2 linked regions of the Diceros bicornis minor genome follow. The protein of the gene in region 1 interacts with the protein of each later gene in a biochemical or structural test. Links are inferred from orthologs where the notes say so. Each region holds a gene or a part of one and is shown on either strand. Other genes may lie near its edges. The genes, in order: CFH and C-reactive protein-like.

Region 1 (12,003 bases):
ATCTCCATCACAATACATTATGTCATAAAATATGTGTTAATAAAACACAATAATCATTCTTTTCATTTTCCCCACTAAGTGACCTCCTTTTGGGAAGTGCTAGTATAGTGCCTGGTACTTAGCAGTCACTCAAAACATGATAAGTGAATGAACAAGTGAATGAATGAAAGAATGAATGAATGAATATGAAACTATTTCAAAGCTTTTCCGTTACATCTGTAGATCATGGGCAACATGTGGAAAGGGCACAGTAGATGGTAGCAAATGTAAAGGATAAGAGAAAACAAGGGAACAAATGTTTAGTGCACTTAAAGCTCTGCTGCATGAACCCAAGAAACTCTAACATCTGTAATTCCATTGCACATCTTGTCCACACGTCTGTCCACACGTCCTAAGTTTGAATCTATGTTATACTTTTTGAAGTCAGAAATCCTTTTAATTTAGCTCAGAAAAACTTTTGGGAACCTTTGAAGGAACATTTCTATAATACTTTTCTATTTATTACATTTCTGGTTAACAAGGTTTATGAGAAACTTGGCTCTTTCAGTTAAAATGTCAAAACAAACAAAAGTGTTCTGTCAAATCTTTTTTCCCCCTTTCCTTTTATTATTTTTGTGATTTTTTTCCTGTCCCATTACTTTGCTTTCTCTGAGCCATTTTTATAATGTTTCGTTATAGTGTTAAACTAAAATGTAACACTTTCTTTTTCAGTTACATCATGTCCTTTTTATGCACTGTGTTCTGGGGCTGGTTAAAGTTGTTAAGAAATGGGTAAAGTGCTTATTAGTTAAGCGAGCACAGGACAGATTGGTTGGCAGAATCTCACAGGCCGGGCAGGTGGGGGATGTTGTGTGGGGTAAGGAGGACGAGGCATAGCTGGAAAGAAGAAAAAGTGGCAAAGGCTGTAGAATAATCAGGAATTGAGCAAATAAAAATGGGGCAACTTAGACTTTGGCTCAAGCCCTCAAAATCAAAGGCCAAAAATGAAGAATCTTTGCTAACTTGTGCTTTAACTTATATTTGGGATCTTACTCCTAGCTAAGAATAATTTTAGGAATATTTAAATAATTCCATTCTAGTTTAACATTATATGCAGGCAAAAGAGTAGAATACGCATTCCCAGGCTATGCCTACACTTAGAATAAGCAAGGCTGGCTTTGGCACACCTCTCCCTCTCTTAACATTCCTATGCGCATTTTCTCTACCCCTTCCCACAGCGCTTGCCGTAGCATTTCATCCATCAGATCTAACCTACCTGGGAATAATTCCTCACCCAGAATTGCTGGGTCCTGTTCTTACCCTCCTCATCATCCAATTCTACCTTTCCCCACCAAAATTGTTGCAGAAAGGTGAGCAACTTACAATAATTCACAGTAAATTGTGGTGAATCATACTAAATTTAATTATCCCAAAGTATTTATTCAGAGTATTTTTCATTCCACATAAACTTTGGATTGGTTGAACTTAAGGTAATATCAATGTGTAGGACATGTTAGAAGGAGAGAAGATATTGAAAACCATTGGGCCATTGCACAATTTTAATTAAACCCTATAGGTAAATACCCACACTAATATTTCTGAAAATGTGGGGGTTTGAGGGGGGAGGGGGGATTCTTATTTATCATACTGGAATTGAAACATAGAATTTAGGATTATAAACCACTATCACAAGTTTTATGGATTATAGCTATACATAATATTCACATATATCCTTATAAAAGAGTAATTTTTATTAATTTATAATTAATTCTTATGATATTCATAATATCAATTCTGTTTTTCCATATTAGGATTAATTTAAATTTGAAGCCATCTTGTACTTGAAACAATATAATATATAAAAAAAATAAGTTCTCCTCTTCTGATGGAATAGAATCTCTCTCTCTTTGATCTGTAATGTATTTCATGTCCTGAAAGAACTTTTTTTCCCTTTAAACCTCCAGAATTAAAAAACATCTCTCTCCAAACACCACAGCCAGTGTGTACTTGGACATGTTTCATTAGAGTTTTAATTTACTCACTTTAATCAGCCTAGTATTTCTGGGCTATGGCTAATTGCAAAGAGTATACACTTTTTAGACGCTAAATCTAAAAGGTCTACTTGAAAAGTTTGGTTGTCATATATTCCAGAAAGCAGAAACTATGTGGTATGATTGAGGAACTGTTATTCTAAACTTTGTCCTGTGAACCTGACCAGATTCTTAATAGTCTGTTGCGACTCCCCCAGCCATGATTTTTTACCACAAGAAAGCAACCAATGTTCCTGTACCACTAGGAACGTGAGTGCAGACAACCTATTGCATGAAAAAGGTAGTACTTGGTCTTCAATATATAAAAAAAGGAAAAAAAAAATAGAAAGTTGGATTTTCAAATTCTTCCTGTTGGCAATTATTCCTCTTTAGTAGTGAATAATATTTTTGGTGGAATGTTCGCTCTTAACAGGGCAGAGGCTATTTACGAAAATGCTAAAATGTTTTGTCTAGTTGAAGAAGGCAGATTGTGATAGTGTTCAAAACTGTCTTTTTTCAATTTCTCCATTTAGCATTCAGTATTCAGTTTGGTATCTCTCAATATCTCAATTTAGTATTCCATATTTATTTCTACATATGAAATAGAAACAGAGGCAAATGTTGAAGTATATGTGGACATTTTTAACGATCAAGGCTGCTCTGTTGAGTAAAATATCCGTTAGGTATGGTAACTGATGCAGTTGATTGACATTTCAAACTAATTTCGTTTCAGAACTATTTGGCAAACAAGGAATAAAATAGCAGTTCTATATCCACTGAAAATTCATGTAATTTTTCTCTACTAGCTTATGAATTAGATGTGTTTTTGTGAAAATCATGAGGCTAACCTAAGTGTTGCTTTAAATACTAAAGTTGTACTTTATCTGTTAGGAAACATCCAGATTTATAGTCATTTTCACTATAATATGTACAGTGCTAATGCTCAGCTCACTAATAGAAACTGATATCTCATTTAAACATACATTGTTGAAATATAAAATACAAGTGAAATAAGTCAGCAGGAATCAATTACATAAGCGAGGGGTTTAAATCACTATTGTTTAATTTTTATCATTTATACTTTGTAGCACCCAATTTTAATAATGTTTCAAATTACACTTTTTAATCACTTCAACAGTTTAATTAAACTTGGCATCAATACTTACTAAGTTTTAAACATGAGCTAGAAATAAAACAAATCTTCCTTGCATGACAAATTTCTACATAAAACCTCAGCAAACAATATGTAAACAGTGAAACGCTAGAAGTATTCCTACTAAAAGAAAAGACAGAAATACTTATGTAAAGAAAAATATGTTTGCTAAGATTGGTAACATTAACATTGTTCCAGAAGTCTTTGCCAATACAACAATATTTTACTTTTAAATACTAATTGTAATATTTATATGTACAGGGAAATGATTGTATACCTAGTTTTAAAAAGCGGCTGGATATAAAGCTTACAAGCTAAAAATCAAGCAATAGCATATTAGAATGTATAATTGCAAAAAGACTCTATCTTTCCAAAAATATTAAACACATTTGAATAAACTTAAAAAAATTACTAAAGGATATAACTAAAAAAAGATATCTGCCTTTATTTTCTAGGTTGAAACACCCGCAAGCACAGAGGTTTTGTGTTATTTGGTAATATTTCTCAATGCTTAGAAGCTGACATGATGTAAGTGTTCAATCAAAAGTTGTTGACTTAGTGAAAAGTTCTGGGAATTTATGAATGATATCTAATTCACTTGGTTTGAAAATATCAATCAAATATCTATCACATAGTTAGTTACCCATCATGAACTAGGAAAGAAAATTTCCTCCAAGAAGAAACTTTTTAATAAATGGAGAAACAGTGCTAGAATTAAATTTAATTATGAATTCAGAAATTTTCTTACTGATATCAGAAGAAAACTCCTACACTCATATTAACTACTCCTAAAGGCTAGTCTTCTAGAATATATCTTATATACAACTGCAGGAAAAAACCCTACTGAACAACTTAGATGTGACAAAGATTGCATATTTAATTTTTTTCAAATTTATATAATATCATCATTCGAACGATACAAGTAATGCTTGTCTACCAGACTTTTAAGGCCATGGCAATATCAGTCATAGACGATAAATGAAATTTAGAAAGAGTTAACAGCTATATCTGAAATAAATCCAATCATATGATTTAAAGGCTTTTAATGTCTAATTTATGTTCTGGTTCTATGTATGTTCACATACTTCTTAATACTTTCACATAAAGCATTTTGGTGAAAATTCTAAGCAAAAAAATTATATTTTATGAAAATTACAAAGGAAATGATTATGACATTATAGTTTTCAAAAATATTTATTCAAACATTTTCTAAAAATTTTCACTAAATAAAATTATGATGAATAATCAGATATGTCATCCAAGTAAGCTATTTATATTTTTTAAACTTAACACAGTCAAAAGCCGTGCATAGACTAAACTACAGAACAGTAATTCACATTTTCTAGATCAAATTTTTATTACCACTGTAAAAAGCATATTAGCAAATGTTTGATAATATAGCTATAGGACAAAGTCTTCCCCTTTTACTCTTACCTTGTGCTACACAAATAGTCCATAACATAAGCCACACAATGTTTGCCGGAAATCTCATTTTTGGGGTCTTTTAGGGGTACATTTAACAGCTGACACTGCTCACACTATGTCAGGTTCTCCTCTGCTAAGAACTGCGATTAGGGCAGGAAATTACTTGCTCCAAAAGGAAGTTGAAATGCAGCTTGAGAATTAAAAGGATTACTAGATGCTCCGCCCATCAGAAACTTTTCAAAGTAAAAGAAAAAAATCAACCGCAAGCCCCAGCAGTGTCAGAGTTTGAACCGGATTCTCACTGCATTCCTACGGAATGTTAATGCTGGACCCACTCTGGATTTGTTTTTATAAACCCAGGCATGTTCTCCGTTGGGACATGTTCAGATTCTTGGAATGTGCGAAGCAGTAGCTGGTGATATCCTCTGGATTTCATAAATCCTCCAGTTCTTGAAACTCCTTTCAGGTCTTGTGTGTCAACCTCAGAAGAAAAGTAATAGGACTCTTTTAAAAATCATTAACAGAACTCGAGCTTAGGCAATGCTTTCACAATCATGACCCAGACAACGTGAGTAAACTTTGCCAAGAACGCAGTACTGGCTGATTTTGGGGGCCTGCTTTTCCCACAATTCATGAAATTCATCTTCTAAGGACTTGTTAGATACGTCTGTAAAGCAACTGGCTCACTCTCATTAGACATAAGAGTTTAATAATTCAAAAATCAAGAAATTAAAATGCTAATTGTTTTAAAACTTTGTATTGAAATATAATATGCAGAAAGAGAATATAAGCAAGTGGTTTGCTGAATATCAAGAAGGTAAAGACTACCATGCAACCAGCACCAAGGTCACGAACTGAACAGCACTATTTCTCTGGAAACCCCTAGTATTCCCTTTCTGTCAACCTCCCTCACCCGCTCCCCCACCACACACAGCGTAACCACTACCCTGATCTCTAACGTATGGAATAGATTTGCCTGTTTTTGTACTTTATATAAATCAAATAATAAGATATTTACTCTTATGTGTTGTGGACATTAATAAAAGAAACCTGAACTAAATTGGAGTTGGGAAGGCCCATAGAGGGAGTTCTCACGCCCCATCACACATCCTCAATTACTCCGAACAGGAAGAGACAGGCCCTTGCATCTTGGGCAGGAAGTAAAACCACTTTACTACTGAAGGAATATTTTTCTCACCACCCAGCAACAGCTCAACCAATAAGAAGGCATTGCTGCCCTGAGCTGTTACTTTCCCCCATTGGATTTTCATTTAGGACCGCCCCTTCCTACTCCCTTTTTTCTCTGTAAAAGCAGCGCTCCTTCTTTGTTGGATTTGCCCATGGTTTGCCATAGCATGTACATCTCGAATTGCAATTCTTTTGGCTGCTCTGAATAAACTCATTTTGAGATAAAATAACAGGCAAATTTTGCTTTCTACGTTTACAGTGTTTAGAGCTTTTCACTAAAAATGATGTTTAGGTCCTTCAACCACACTATTGGGTGTAGTTGCATCTCATTGATGTCTTGTAAGAATGAAAGTTTGCTCCTGTCATGTGTGATCTATTGACATGAATGAAGATACCATAACACTTATGTCTCTACAATGAGGACATTGAGAACAAACTAGTTACAATATCTCAGTTCAAATAGTATTTGATATTACTCACAACACAAGAACTCTTTTAATGCCCTGAATTCTTGTAGTTCATTATATCAAGAAAACTTGAGTTTTTCCAAAATTTGACAACAATCCTAAAAATTTATAGGCCATTATAAATCATGAGTTGTGAACCTGAAGAGACTTTTCTAATATTTCAATAACAAGTAACAAATTTAAATCAAATATGCTAAAAACTGAATTATTTTTCTACTTTCTCTATATTGAAAATACTAGAAAATTACACCATGTGAAGAGAAGCTCAAGAGAGTATTTAGCCAAAAACGTAAAAATTAAAGGTATCATAGAGTTGTATAAGACAATATACATATTATGTTGTTTCTGGTTTTTATGATGTCTTTGGTATTTTTTTAACTTTATAATTTATAATGATTTATTTCTAATTTTAACTTATTTTTTATTTATAATTTCAAATAAATATTTACTTTCAAATCTAATTTCTGTTCGCAGTTTGTGGTCTTTTCCTTAGAGAGTTCTGTCCAAATTGCATGCCACATCCAAAAACCTGGATCTTTCCTGATTAACATGTAGTATTAAAAGTGACAGGTAACAACATAGGTCAGTCTATACTATGAAATCTATAACACCTTAAGGCATCTTATGTAGTCCTAAAGAAATATTTTGAAGGAACGATGCTTTGTATCTTTGATGTCACGTGCAACTAATCACTGCATAACAATTTTTCTTATTGGTTTGGAATGGGCAGTTAGTAGCTATGGCTTCTGAACCATTGTCCACAAATAACTTATTACATTGAAATTTAAATTTAAGTTAACTAAATTAACTTAAATTAATTTAGTTCTTGACTTCCACTTCTGATCAATGTAGAACAGAGGTCCTGGATTTATCCTTCCACCTGAACAACTAAAAAGAATCAATAAACTGACAAAATGGATGAAAAAGAGTTTTCAAGATAAGGGACATCAGGCCATATAAAACAGGTATCTCTGAGAGATGGGAACTGAAAGACTTGGGCCCCATGATTGCTCCAGTTTATTTCCTTGAGAAAGTTTCTGGTGTTGAGGAACCCGCATAGAGTCAGATAGCTTCCCTAAGTCAAGGAAATGGGGCAGGGAATAGCAAGGTAGCTCGAGTTTGTAGAACAGAGTACTGGAGAGGAGGCAGCTGCACAGAGAGAGATATTCACAGAAATGTGGATTATTCCTGCAAGTATTCATATTCAGCTGAGTTCTGATTAGTGACTGTGTGCATATGAGAAAACTATTTAAAGACAAAAAAAAAAAAAAACACTCATGAGGAAGGATGAGCAACAATACTCCTCAATTCTTGCACAGGGCTGAGTATATTGCCAGTTCCCACTAGCAGACTAAACAGTTAGAGGGCACTGAAGGGTTTTGTTCCAGTAGTTGAGGATAGTTAGCTCTAAGCTGAGCACTCCTCCACTCTCACCTAATAAATATTAAAACCAGAGCCAAAGGGTCCAACTAACCTAACTTAACTGCATCCCAGAACAAAACTCAAGAATATTTATAAGAATTTTTTTAAATCCAGAATCTAACAAAGTAAAATTCAAAATGTCTGGTAACTGACCAAAAATCACCAGGCATGCAAAGAAGCAGGAAAATAAAACTCATATTAAAGATAAAAATCAATAAATTGAAACTGACTCAGAACAGACATCAATGCTAGAATTAAAAGAGAAGGACATTATGACAATGTTTTAACTGTATTTTATATGTTCAAAAGTTAAGTGGAAGCATGGAAGATATAAAAAAGATCCAGAGATGAAAACTACAATGAGTGAATGAAAATTATAGTGGATGGGAGTAAAGATAGATTAAACATTGCAGAAGAAAATATTAGTGAACTTGAAGAAATACCAACAGAAACTATCCAAAAGGAAACATAGAAATAAAAGAGAATTAAAAAATGAATGAAGCAGCCAGCCCAGTAACATAGTGGTTAAGTTCCTGCACTCTGCTTCAGTGGCCCAGGGTTCGCAGGTTCAGATCCCAGGTGCAGACCTACTCACCGCTTATCAAACCATGCTGTGGCAGGCATCCTACACATAACATAGATGAAGATGGCACAGATGTTAGCTCCGGGCCAATATTCCTCAGCAAAAAGAGGAGGATTGGCAACACACCTTAGCTCAGGGCTGATCTTCCTCACCAAAAAAAAAAAAAAAAATGAATGAAGAGAGCATCAGTGAGATGTAGCACACATTCCAACTTGAAAAGGAGGAGGGATGGAAAAATTATTTGAAGTTATAATGGCTAAAAATTTCCCATACTTGATAAACTTACAGTTCCATGAAGCTCAATGAACCCCAAGCACAAGAAACCTGAAGAAAATTACACCAAGGCACATTATAAGCAAACAGCTCAAAATCAATGATAAACAGAAAGTATTAAAACTAGCCAGAGAAAGGAAGACACATGACATACAGAGGGTAAGGGTGACAGCCGATTTCTTATTGGAAGCAATGCAGGTGGGAAGAAAGTGGAGCTGCATTTTTAAGTGCTGAAAACAAAAACACTGTCAACTTAGAGTTCTATATTCAGTAAAAAAAAAAAATCTACGAGTATAAAGCTAAGAGAAAGACTTTTCAGATCTATAAAATCTCAGGAGTTCACCACCAGCAGATCCACACTACGAGAAATGTTAAAGGAAGAATTCAGGCAGAAGGAAAATGATACTGCATGAAAATATGAATCTATATGAAGGGATGAAGAGTATAGGAAATGGAAATTGCGGCTACATTATTTACCGTGTGTAAATAAAACCCCAATAAAGCTTTCTTTTAAAAAAATCAATTCTTCAGTCTCACAGTCACATTTCAAGTACTCAATAGCCCCATGGGCAGTGCCTATGTTGCACAGCACAGGTGTAGAGCATGTCCATCATCACAGAAACTTCTATTGGATGGTGCTGTGTACATGACGTGGTGGTCTGAACTCAGGGCCCATTATGCTCTGAAAAGGTATGAAAAAGAAGGCAGCATTTTCCATAGGCTGATCTTGATATATATTCAAAAAGGAGGATATGAAACAGCATCATAAATTCTCAATAATGAAACTCGTAGATACATCTGATAGGTAAACCAATCTAATTTATTTTTAATAATCACAGATATCAGTAGTATAATTCACATAGGAAGATTCAGTCATCTTTTACTCAATGTGTGATTTTTATTTTCCAGTTGTCATGGTTTGGGTTTTTCTATCTGTAACCTCACAAAACCACCACCACCTCGACTGACAGCATCACTACTAATGCAGAATACAAATTACAGTTGCAATAAAACAAGAGAAAAATTGTGAAGAATCAATTTTCCTTTCTCCAATTAATTCAAACCAGGAGCAGCCTGTCATTTTCTGTCACTATTTCTTATTTGAGGTCAAATTTTCCTCCCCTAACTGACTCAGAGGTGTAACGGTCTTCTTTATGTCCTGATAGAAAGAGCTTAAAACCTCCTGACAAATTTCCTTATTATCTTTCCTCCTCTATCACATGAAAAACAATGTACAAATTACCCTATATAAGCATGGCCTAAGGTAAAGGTCATCTTTCAGATTTATTTTAAAATATCTCCTCACTTACATGGAGAAGCCCTAAACATTCTAGAGTTCTCTTTCCCACTCCTTAGGAGGCTAGTGCCTTCTTCCCAAAGGGACCCTGCTAGCAAAACCCAATTTAATAATTTGAATGGAAGTGAAGAACAATGACTCCAGATTTTGTTTAATTCTAGTTGTGAGGAAGTGAAAACACAAGGACCTCCATTCCTATTTATTGCACTTATTTTATTAGGTGCATTTCTAAAACTGGATTGCAAGCTCTTCAAATAATGCAGCCCTTTAGAGGAGAAAGAAAAAAACCTGCCATCTCCTTGGCAACTTCCTCGGTCAAATTGGAGCACATGCAGAAAGCTTTAAAAGGCTTCAGAGAAAATTGGTTCTCCTTTCCCTAAACCAGCTGCCTCCTCTAAAGTCCTCTTTCCCAGGTTCCTAGGCATTTATCCTAGGGTACAACACACGATATACCGCACATTTCTGAGTCTTTTCTAGGCTATATTAAAAATCTCTGAGCAAAGTCTCTTGTCTGACCCTGCACTGACGTGGCTTTAACCTTCCAAGCTCTACTGATCTTATAATAATTGCTGATTAATGATTCATTTTTGTGTGTCTGGTGCTGTATTAAATGTATTATCTACTTTAAATCCTCATAAACCTTATCAGATAATTCTATTATTCCCTTTTTACACATAGGGAAGCTGTGACTTACTTAAGTAGATTAGAACCTAGGCTGTCTGGTTCCACAGTTGAACATTTGAACACTACGCTTACTGCCTTTCTGACTCCAAGTTCTATATTATTCCCAAACTTTGTTACCAATTTTTGCTCTGGACTGAGGAAACTCTTAGAGCTGGTCTTTTTCCAGTCTCTAATGAGGACTCATAGGAACGCAATGTAATATTTTGTGTAATGATGCTAAGCTGCATTTTGGAAGACTATAATTTCTTTTTGTAAATTACCCTTCTAAAAATACCTAATAAATTATGCACTGCAAGATAGAAGTAATCATTTACTGGGGAAAATAAAATAAGTCCTGCCTATGATGTGTAGTTAGTTGCAAATAAATGGTTATTAATGCAGTTAATATAACCATTTAGGTAAGCTTATATGTCATCATTCAAATGAAATTCAAATACAAAATGATACTTGAGAGTTCACATATTTAAATTTTGACATTTATTCAACAATCAAAAGGAATAAAACATATGTAAAAACCACACTGGGTGCATGACCAGGTTTTAGTAAATTAGATTTATATCTAATATATATTATTTATTTTATTTTATATTTTTATTAAATAAATATATATTATTTATTTTATTTATATAATATCAAAACAACATGATTGCTGCTGGTTCCATTGTTAAAGTTTTTATTCTATTAAGAAATCCAATTAATTAATAATCATTACATCTTTAATAATATTCCTATTTAATGTCATCAGCAAATCAGCAAAAAGACATTTGATTGTAAAATACAAACTTTTTTCTTTCAGATAGTCTGAGAGAATAAGATATCATTCACAAACTACTTCTCAAAAAAACCAATTTTAAAGTAATTTTCTCCAAAATTTAATTTTATAGATATACTATAATTTGAAAATTAACTCACAACATAATTTCAATAAACCAAATGATGGAGCATATTCTTAATTCATTGGGAGCCTCCTTAATAGTATTCCAGTTTTTATTTTTCTGTCAGGAAAATGATTAGAGATAAATTTGAATGTCAAGATTATGAAGATCCCTTTCAATTATATATAAAATCTATTTTTTTAACTGTTCATAGATTAAAATTGTCATTTCTTAAAGAGTACAGTGTAAGGTATTATATATAAAAAAGATTGAACTGTTGAACAAAATAGTCAATTATTCTTGTTTCATTTGTTATCTTTAGTCCTATCTCAGTAGTGGTCCAAACTCAGGCTTATTGTAATGATCTATTTTGTGGGACACAGGGGTAAGAAAAATATCTTGAAATGGTCACAGCATTTAATTTTAAAAAGACATTAAAGTGGAAAAAATTGGCTATACTAAGACATTCCTATGATAAGACTTGCAATTAATAACTTTTTTTTGTTCTTAAAAACAATGGTGAAAATCGGTTAAACCTATTCTTGACAAAAAACCAGGTGCTGCTAGTTGTTGACTCAACCCCTCTACCAGCAGTATCTAGCCAATGGCAAACACAGCACAGGATTC
Region 2 (10,401 bases), on another chromosome or scaffold:
CATCCTAAATTCATGAGCCAATAAAGCCCCTGTTTACTTGAGTGAGTTTGAGCTGTTTTCTGATGGTTGCATTCAAAGTTGTGATTAGCCTTTCTAAGGATCCTCTGAAACGAAGTCCCTGTGAATTCAGATTGACCAATACTGTGCAATAACACATCTACAGCACTCTAACCTCTCCTAGAGCCTCTTATGGAGATTCTCTCTGACAAGCAAGGCCCCTCTTTTGTGATAGCTGGTCATTCATGTGGGGCCAGTTGTGGGGGTTTAAAACTCTCACTCCATCATTACTTCAATTTGAGGAACAAAAACTAAAGATCATTGAGATCCAAGAATCTGCTGTCAGGTTCAATGATTGGAATGCACTTGCCCAGTCTGCTTGGGTCCTTTGTGGAAAAGGACCCCTCAAAGATGATGGCTGCTGATTTCCTCCAGAATTGCCCTTCACCATGGCCTTTCAGTACTGGGTGAGCAATTAAAGTTACTCAGCAGAGGTCACAGCCAAGAGTGAAATATGGGGCTGCCTGTATATCAAATAGTTGCTTTAGAGAAGGCATATGTTAGACTAGTTAAGCATAGAGGATCTGGAATCCAACTGCCTCAGTTCCAATCCTGGCTTTGCAACTGACCAGCTATGTGACTTTAGGTGACATAACCTGTTTATGTCTCAGTTTTCACATCATTAAGTGGGGAAGGAATAATAGTAATTAGCCCAAAGAGTTGTTGTAGGAATCAAATAAGATCATGCATGTAGAGCACTTAGTGTAGTCCCTGGCACCCAGTAAGCTCTCAAAATAGTTATCTACTATCATTATTATTATTAGGCTGTTTTGTATTATCTTGCTAAACGTAGGTTCATTATATGCCATCAAAGTACAACTTGGTGGAATTGGTCCAGGCTGAGAGCGGTTGAAGGGTCTGATTTGCTAAAAATTAAGTTCAGAATATTAGGAGGATGAACAACAAATCTTTGAGGTAATTATTTATGAATATTGTTTCCCCTAATTGACTTTTGATAACCGTTTGGAAGCGTATAAGTTAAAGATACATTCTTGGGCAAAAATGTGAGTGCAAAATTTTTCTGTGGTCCAATTAGGGCAGATCCATACACCCTGACATTCAGCTAAGCATAAGAGAGGGTCAATACCTTTTTCTGGTTAAAGAATCCAGTTAGGAAATATGTCTTAATTGTAGAAGACCATCCCAACTCCCCAGGGATGTGGGCTGAGCTAATATTTTCCTCAGAATTCAATTACTGGTACCTTACTATACATAGTTTAGTGGACAGCCTCTGGCTCTAATAATTTTAGCCAGGAAAATTTTTAAGCTAGTATTTGCATTCAGTGAACACTAAAATATCTCAATAAAGCATTTCTAGAATGTTTAAATTTAGACAATTTAGCTTACTGGTAGATAATTTAATGTAATCTTGTTAGAAAATATATCCCCAGGTCACTGGTCTGTTGCATGATATAGAATGGTTAGACATAATTCCTATTAAATGTTATGTGACATCTGCCAAGGAGGATGATTTTGGTTTGGGCGAGTTGGTTCTAGGCAATTCTTCTTCACAGTAAATGGATAAGATCCATTGTCCATTGAGACCACTTCTAGCTGATGTTAATAAAGCCATGTTATCAGCACTGTTTTTTCTTGATAGCAGGGATCATGCATCCAGTTTGCCTAGAAGTAGAATCAGGCATTAAAGCTTAAGTTAAAAAACAGAGGGCCAAATCGTATATAAAACCAACAATAAAAGCCACTGTGTAGGGCTTCCTTGAGAAAAATGGGGTAAACTATACAAAGGGCACATGCATAGTAGACCATAAACATTTCTTTCCTTCAAAGGAGGTAAGGAGAATGGATTTATGCACTTCTATCAGTGAAATGAATCTTAGGTGCAATAAAGGCAGTGGCCCAGCACCTGAAGAGATACTGTAGTACATTTACAAGCCAAGGAAGAGGGGGTAGACCAATCACATATGTCAGAGATTGTACATGTACAATCATAGGGAGATGCTGGAGGCTGCTACCTGATAGGACACTTTCCTTTGGGCGCTGAAAATAGGCATGTTGGTATGAGAGTTGGGGCCAGGCCTTCAGGGCCAAAGCCTGACCCAAATGTGAGCATTTTAGCACCAGATGCAACATGGTGATGTGCACGTCAGGCACCTAAAATCTCCCTCTGTCAGGCAGAAATATCAAATCACTGGTCATGGTGACAAGCCTTGCATTGTCCCTATCCAGATGAATGGACAAGTATCCATCTCTGTAGTCTATTCAGGGCCTGGAGGAGAGACTACAGGTTGCCCCAGAAATGGAGCTGGGGCCAGATGGAAATGGCTGTGGAGTCCCAGTTGACAAAGTGGGTAGAATGGTAAGTCTGTGATTTTTTCCTCATGCTTTTCACTATTCTCATTTGATGTGCCCCAGGGAAGCAAGGATTGACAAAAAACAAACACACACACACAAATGACTCCAGATCATTAAAACAACAAGAAAAAATACCCAAATCAAGTTTCCAAAGTATAGATTTCTGATCCTTAGAATCCCAGGGAAAGAAGAGAAACGCTGCTTTGATTTCTAAATAGTTTGATCCTAAGATAACCAACCTCTAGTCGCAGACGGGTTGATATAACTTGCTTGGATTCCTTCCATGCAGTTCTCCACCTCTGTCACATCTGTGCATCTTTTCATGTCTCCTGGAGAAGGTGGGTTAAGTGGCCTTGTTAGCCTTCTTCCTCAGAAAATGCAGACTCCCATCTCAAATTTCCTGGATTGCCTGCTCCAGGGATTCTTAAATGGTGGCCTGCTATTACAGGCATCATCATCACGTGGAGTGTTTATTACGAGTGTAGATTCATTGATCCCAGAACTACTAGATTACACTCTCTGGCGTTAGAGCCAAGGAATCTGCCATTCACAAGCTCTTTTGCCCAATATGTTTTTAGAACCATCGCTTTAGGGTCTTCTTGGCAGCTCGGATGGCTCATCTAGCAGACATGCCTGGCTCCCAATAAGCTTGAAGGCAGGTGGTCATCTTTAAAGAAGGATCTAGCACATCTCGACTCAGGTTATTCCCTTGGCCCACCGCTGGTGCATTCTCTGAGGACTCAGTGTGATCCCCTCTACCCTACGTCCTTTCATACTCACAGACGAGTGATCTCATAAGTCTCCATCACTGCTCCCAGGATCATAATTGCTTAACCACACAGGGCGGATCACAGACAGTCTTAACAATACCTTACATGCACTGAGCTCTTGCCATGTCCCAGACGCTGTTCTAAGTCCTTTACGTATATTTGTGTGTTTAATGACAATGCTATGAGGTAAGTACCATTTTTTAGCCATCATTTTACAGATAAGGAAACTGACATCTAGAGAGGTTAATTAACTTGCCCAGAGCTGGGGTTGAACCTAGGTAGTTTGGCTACAGAGCCCTGTGCTTCTAACCACTGTATTCTACTGCCACATGCAACAAAAACTTACACACTGCACTTATACCCCTAGGGGAGGAGGGAGAGTATGGGATGTGTGCATGTTTTCTCATGGGGAAGCCATTCCAAGATGCCATATATTCAGAGGGTTAACTACCATTTCTGGGAAACTGGGAATCTTCCAACTTTTCATTTTGTTGTTCTATGTTGAGGAAAATGACATACACACAGATATACTCCGCAGCTTCAGCATCAACATAACATTAGGAAGACTATGCCCTTGACACATTGTCAAAGTTCTTCTTTGACTTGGAAACCCCCACCTTTTCCAATGTCATGTATAGCTTGGGACATAATTTTATATCATAGGAAGTATTCACCAATGGCATGGAATCATATGAGAAATTATCTATGTCAGCGATTCTCAAGTTTAGATGCTAATATAATCACCTGGGGAACTTTTAAAACTCCAGCTGCCCAGGCCACACCCCAGATCATTACACCAGTTTCTCTTGTGGTAAGACCCAGGCATCAGTATTTTTGAAGTTCCTTAGGGGATTACAGTGTGCAGCCAATTCTCCAACAGTGGAAGCTGGGAATCTGCTGTTCTATCTGAGTGATAGCTTTGAAAAGACTGTTGTTGTCTCTGACTGGTTGTGTGGTTGTTTCCGACTGATGTGTCTCTTGCTTCCTCCTTTCCTCATGTGCTGGTGGTTTTTGTTTGAATTGGGGGAGCATACCAAACTCTCTATTGAAACACTGGGGTCTAGAGTCATAGCTGCTCTAGGATTAAGTAAAGTGATAACCATATATTTACCATGTTCTTATTTATTCAATAAAGCTGCACCACGATAACAAACATTCTGTTTGTCTTAGAATGTTTTTTTCTTTTTCCTCAGTTGATACTTTGGATCTCTGCAATCTGAGGTGTTTGTCTGGCCTACTGGGGCTTTAAATCAGGGAGAAACCAAAGCGCCATGATGTCTAGAAAAGCTGCGATCCTTTGGTATGTTTATTGGATTATGGCAAGCTGTAAGAGGAGAAGACTCCCAAGCAAACATCTGAGGTGAGGGTAATATTTATTACACCTCTCTCCTGATAAAGTTCCCCCAATGCTCTGTCATATGTGAGTAGTTCCAGTACTGTGTTGGCAGGTAGCTGGAACCAGGGGTAGATTGTGAAATGGTTCAAGGGGAAGATCTCTCAATTTCTCTATTCTATTTTTTTTCTCTTCTCTTTCTACTGCTTTAGCTTTCCCTCTCCCTATCTCTATGTCTCTATGCCTCTATCTCTCTCTTTTTCAGTGTTAAGCCTTGTTCAGAATATCCATTTTGGAGATAGTTCTGGTAATGTGGTGAGCTCCCTGAAATCAATAATATTTCCAAAGAGTCCACTCATCATATTGGTAGTTACATTCTTTTGATGCGGGGAGCTCGTTGCTAACGAGAAGGCAATTTGGGTACTGAGAAAACACTTTCTTCCTTCTTTGTCCCAATCTTTTCACCTGTTACATATTTTTTTCTGTTCAAATTATGTATATATCTTTTATTGGGCAAGTGTTTAGAATAAGAAAAGCTTTTGAAGCAATTACTTTAAGCCAATCTTATAGTTTAAGACACAAAAAGTTTAGAAACAGTAATTACAAAGAAAACTTAACTGTACATCATTAAAAAACAAACATTTCCAGAAATGTACTACCATCTGTAATAGTTCTTTTTTCTTGTGTGTTTAGAATATGCTACCCACATGTTAGTGGGTTCTTCCAGTCAATTGAGAAATAACCTCTATTATTAATTTCTCAATGAATACCAATGGGAAAACTCGTGATGAGGCCATGTGAATAAGCTCAAGATTCTTTTTACATGAATTTATAATGTTATACAGGAACTTGTATATTGCAAAGTACTTTAGTACCTAAATATAATTATATATATACCTCAGTGTGTCTAACTGATATTGTTCTCTGTTTGAGGTATTCTGGGAGTCAAGTCCAATAGCCACAGTCAAACTGGGTGTTCTATTTGTAAAATGAAACAGTAGCTTTTGGGGCTTCAAGGACTATTGATCTTCATTCCCCCTTTCCTTGCTTCTTACACACACACACACAAACACTTCATTTTAGAAGTAATATAACCATGTTAAGGAAATGTTATTAATGAGGGAAAAAAATCCTCCATAATTTCATTACGATGATAAAAACACTTATTGTTTGGGGGGTATTCCTTATAGTTTTTTTCTAAGCTAGTAACTTCTTTTAAAAAATAGTGTATAAACAAATTTGTGTTAGTTTTTCTCTCATTATAGTATTATAAGCATTTTTACATGTTGTAGCTTAAAATTCATAACCGTATTTTAAATGGCTTTCCGTTCTATTTAGTGGATGTAGATATATACAATTTACTTAAACATGTCCCAATTTTCTAATTTTTCACTATCCTAAGTAATGTTATGGTTGTCTTTGTGAATAAAGTGTCCCCCCTCCCTATATTTTATGGCATTTCCCCAGAATGGATTCCCAGAATGTGACTGTTTTAATTCCCTAAGCATTGCCACACGGAGCTGTTGGAGCACGAGCAGACACCATGGAGTCTCTAATAAACAACCCATATTGATCTCTCGTTTTGTGATTTATCTTGGTTTATTTGCTCTTAGAGCTTTGATCCATGGCTGCAAGTGGCAATTTTGGAAAATCATTTACCTGTCAGTTGAGACACTCTGACTATTGCACATATAAGGTCAAGATGGAGCAGACCTGAGACAGAGGGATCTCAGAGGTCCAAGCCCAGAATCTCAGCTGCTAAGATTCTTTCCAGGAGGATAACTCAGATTCTAGGTACAGTGACAGCAGGGAGGGAACATGGAGAAACTGTCGCTGTGTTTCTTGATCATCATCAGCCTCTCCAGTGCTTTTGCCCAGAAAGGTAGGCACTACTTCAGATGGTAGCCAAGTTCTTGTCTCAGGGTTAGACTGTGCAAAGCCAAGTTAGGGAAAGTGGCCAGCATGGGGGAGGGGGTATGGTCTGGGGAAGAAGGCAGTCTTTGGTTTCTAAATCCAATCTCTCTATATAGTGAGAGAATACATCTTTGTGGGCTAACGAGCTGTTAAAAAAGAGACAACAGGCCCAAAATGGAGTCACTGTGTTAAGCCCCATGTCAACAAACCAAGACTTAATACCTAAACTAATTGCAGTTTCAGCCTCTTTCAGGACTGTGACATTTAACCTGGAACTGCCTGACCAGCAGTAGTGAGGTAACTCCATATGACCCCTTCCTTCCCCCACAGGAAGGTGACTTTGCCTGAAATAATCCACTCTTTGCTAGAAACTTCCTCTTCCTGCCCCCTTCTGCTTATAAAAGGCCTTCATTTTGTACAGCTCTTCGAAGCTCCTTCTTTCTGCTAGACCGGACGCTGCCTGCCTCAAGAATCGTCAAATAAAGCCAATTAGATCTTTAGATTTACTCACTTGAATTTTGTTTTTTAACAAAGCTCAACTGCTGACATTTTCCCTCTCTGTTTTCTATCCTACAGACATGTCCAAAAAGGCCTTTGTGTTCCCCAAAGAGTCAAATAGTTCCTTTGTGACTCTGACTGCACAGCTAAGGAGGCCATTCACAGCCTTCACCGTGTGCCTGCGCGTCTATACCGACCTCTCTCGTGCTTATAGCCTCTTCTCTTATGCCACAAGGGCGCAATATAATGACATCCTCCTCTTCAGGAGCAAGAATGGAGTATACAGTGTAACCGTGGGTGGAACTGACATCATCTTCAAGCCTCCTGAACGTTCTGCACCAATGCACTTCTGTATGACCTGGGAGTCCTCCTCAGGGATTGCAGAGCTCTGGGTAGATGGGAAACCCATGGTGAGGAGGAGTCTGAAGAGGGGATATTATCTGGGGACAGAAGCAAGCATCATCCTGGGGCAGGAGCAGGATTCTTTTGCTGGAGGCTTTGATAAAAAACAGTCTTTGGTGGGAGACATTGGAGATGTGAACATGTGGGACTTTGTGCTGTCACCAGATGAGATTAGCACTATCTGTGATGGTGGGACCTTCAGTCCTAACGTCCTGGACTGGCGGGCACTGAATTATACAGTGCATGGTGAAGTGTTCACCAAGCCCCAGCTGTGGTCCTGAGGCCTTTTTGTTGCATCCTGATGTTGCCTTTTGGGTATTACACCTTACATTTCCCTTGTCTTTGGCTCTGGTGTTTTATTATCATACATACATGGCTCTTGCACCCTGGGGGGACTGTATTTCCCTCTCCCTTCTCCATTGTTTTCATCATCACAAGGGTCAGTGCAGAGCAGAGGATCTTATTCATGGCCGCACATTAGAATTACCAGCCCACACCCTAGGCCAATGAAATCTGATTTTTTGGAGGCAAGCCCCAAGTATCAATGTTTTTTAAAGTTCTGCAAGTGATTCCAGTGTTGAGCAAAGGTTGAGAACCACTGCATTTTAAGTGTCTAGGAGCAAGTGAGCCAACGTTTTTTTCTCCTAAAAGACAGCATGTGTTTAACTGTAATCTTGCCAACATTTTCCTTTCCCTTAATAGACAGACCCACCCCATTTTATTGTGCTTTATTGATTTATCTAAAGAATACAGGAATATAATTTTTCCAGCATTCTACCCCCACCATCGGAATGTGGTCATTATAAATTAGAATTATCTTTAATTCTTTAATCCTTTCAATTTGAAGATTCAAAAATCTAAAAAGAAATGTTTTATTGTTGTTTCTGTTTAATTTGTTCTATTTTTTCTTCAGGATCACCAATTTTCATTATGTGAGATTTCTATTATTTTTCCTTCTCATTTATCATCACTCAGATTACTTTTATCTGTGTCCTATATCTTTATGTTTTGAGCTTTTATTTTTTCAAAACTATCCTTTACATTAGTGATTTGTTTTTCTGTTTGGCATATTGGGATCCTTACTATTTCTAATGCCATTTAAAATTCTGTAGTGCTTTTTGAGTTGTCTTAAATTCTTTCTCGGCTTTAGTATGTTTTTTTCAACTCTCATCTTTCAATACATCTCTGTTTTCTTCCATTTGCTTGAGAGTTTAATGCAGTTGATGCCTAACTTTTTCTAAATTTTTCTGTGATTAAACTTTTTTGAAGTAAATATTTTACATGCTTTAAATAATTTTCTTTTATATTTTAGTTTTTCAGTCCTTCTATTTGTTCAAATATAGTGTGAGGGGTGAGTTCTCTGAGTCTCCTTCCTGCTTATGCGGCCACAATTAGATTCCCTGACAGTTTAAGCTAGCTGGCTGGTAGACTGATGTTTACTAGGAGTTTCTAGTCATGTAGCCCCAGCCCTGACATCCTGCAACTCTCCTTTTAAGTGATCGGATCTCCACCAATTTCTGCCAATTGTCCCAGACTTTCATAGGTGCACTTCTTCAGATATTTGTGTCTTCATTTCTCTCTCAATGGAATGACCCAGGGTACTAGGGAGGGCACAGTTGATAATAGCAGCATAATCAGACAAGACCAGGTCTTGGGTTCTTTTGGAGAAGGTCATAGGCTGGGGAAGCTTCCATATCCCTCTGACTGGCTCCTCCCTGTGGGAGGAGGAGGGACTTATCCTGTGGGTACCACGTCCCATGTCTGACCTCCATTGGTTCACAGCTTAGGGGCCAAATTTCACACGCATGTGACAGCTCTCCCTGGGCTCTGGAATCCTTCGCTCTCCACCAGATGTGAAGCAGTTAGGGATTCTTGTTGCTCCTCTGGCCTGAAGCTTAGATCTGGAGGGGAAAAGTTTTGGAAAGGCCTTTCTTACTTTAAATCCAAGCAGGGTTCCTTGCCGGCCACAAGACTAATGTTGTGATCCTTATTTGAGTCCTATGTCTATTTCTTAGTTCCTTTAGAACCCACAGAAGAAGAGATGAGATTGTCCCCTCAGAGCTCTAAATGCACCATGAAGAGAGAAAGAAGCTCCTCTATTGAGAGGTCTGGACTTTGTGGTTCTTTACCTGCAAGCAGCAGAAGGTGACCTGGGCAGGACTTCAGGCTTGTCAGAGCAGTAACAAATTGGTGAACAATCTCTCACATTCAGCATGAAGGGTCTGCTATCAGTGGGGATGGTGTTTACACTTGGAACCGGGGCAGGCTTATCCAAGAGTTCCAACTCTAAAAATTGTGAAGTTCCCCAGGAACTGGGGTAGGTTCACTCAAAACAAACTGAGTCTTGATGCCTGGACTCTTTGGCCTTTGTATTGTGGGTGACAGGCACTGATGGGCAGAACTAGATACTGTTCCTCTCAATATGCTTCACTCATGTTCAAGGTCAAAGAGGGACTGTTGAAGGTCTAATCTGTACATTTGTATGGCTCATTTGCAGTTTCTTAAAGGCCCCCTCCTACTTGCTCACAACCTTTTAACCAGGGTTTAAAATAACAGACTACCTGAGTTTAGATCCTGGTTCCATCCATCTCTTAATGGTGTGTGACCTTGGGAGAGTTATTTAAAATACTGTATCCTTCAGATTTCCTCATCTTTAAAATGGGGGTAGTATAGGGCCTACTTCACTGCCACATAGCTAGTGCTCAATGAATGTTATCTATGATTTACTAATAATATTGTTAGCTTGATCATGATTGTGGATTTCAAAGACCCAGGCTTTGGATCAGAGACCCAGTAGCTTGAAGGGATCCATCAATGAGCAGATGTAGAAGACGGGAGACTTCAATTCTTTGGGTGATGTGTCAGCTTACGGTGGAGAAAATAAATCATGAAAATTATCACAAACTTATAGGATAAGGGGAACATTTGAAAGGCCTGTCCTGTGCCTGGAATGCTTGTGGCTGCAGGAACCAGAGTTGCTAGAGGCAGAATGAAGAAGACAGTGAGAGGGTGAGGAGGCTTCAGAATTTGGCACGTGGTCAGAAAACTCACTCGAATTTTTAGGAAAACATCAGAAACTCCGGGAGGATGAAATCAACTTAAAAGACAGGTTTT

What was found.
Region 2: the proteins of CFH (region 1) and C-reactive protein-like form a complex in vitro, tested with the Homo sapiens proteins (12 studies listed by BioGRID and IntAct, with this or other methods). The link is inferred for Diceros bicornis minor from reciprocal best matches to the Homo sapiens genes CFH and CRP.

Annotation. Positions count from the first base shown.
Region 1 is NC_080777.1:25,514,892-25,526,894, reverse strand, and holds the start of CFH (complement factor H), read right to left. Parts: upstream 4,697-12,003; 5' UTR 4,655-4,696; coding exon 4,597-4,654; intron 1-4,596. UniProt on the Homo sapiens protein: Glycoprotein that plays an essential role in maintaining a well-balanced immune response by modulating complement activation.
Region 2 is NC_080767.1:30,176,010-30,186,410, forward strand, and holds C-reactive protein-like, read left to right. Parts: upstream 1-6,291; coding exon 6,292-6,355; intron 6,356-6,963; coding exon 6,964-7,568; 3' UTR 7,569-7,597; downstream 7,598-10,401. UniProt on the Homo sapiens protein: Displays several functions associated with host defense: it promotes agglutination, bacterial capsular swelling, phagocytosis and complement fixation through its calcium-dependent binding to phosphorylcholine.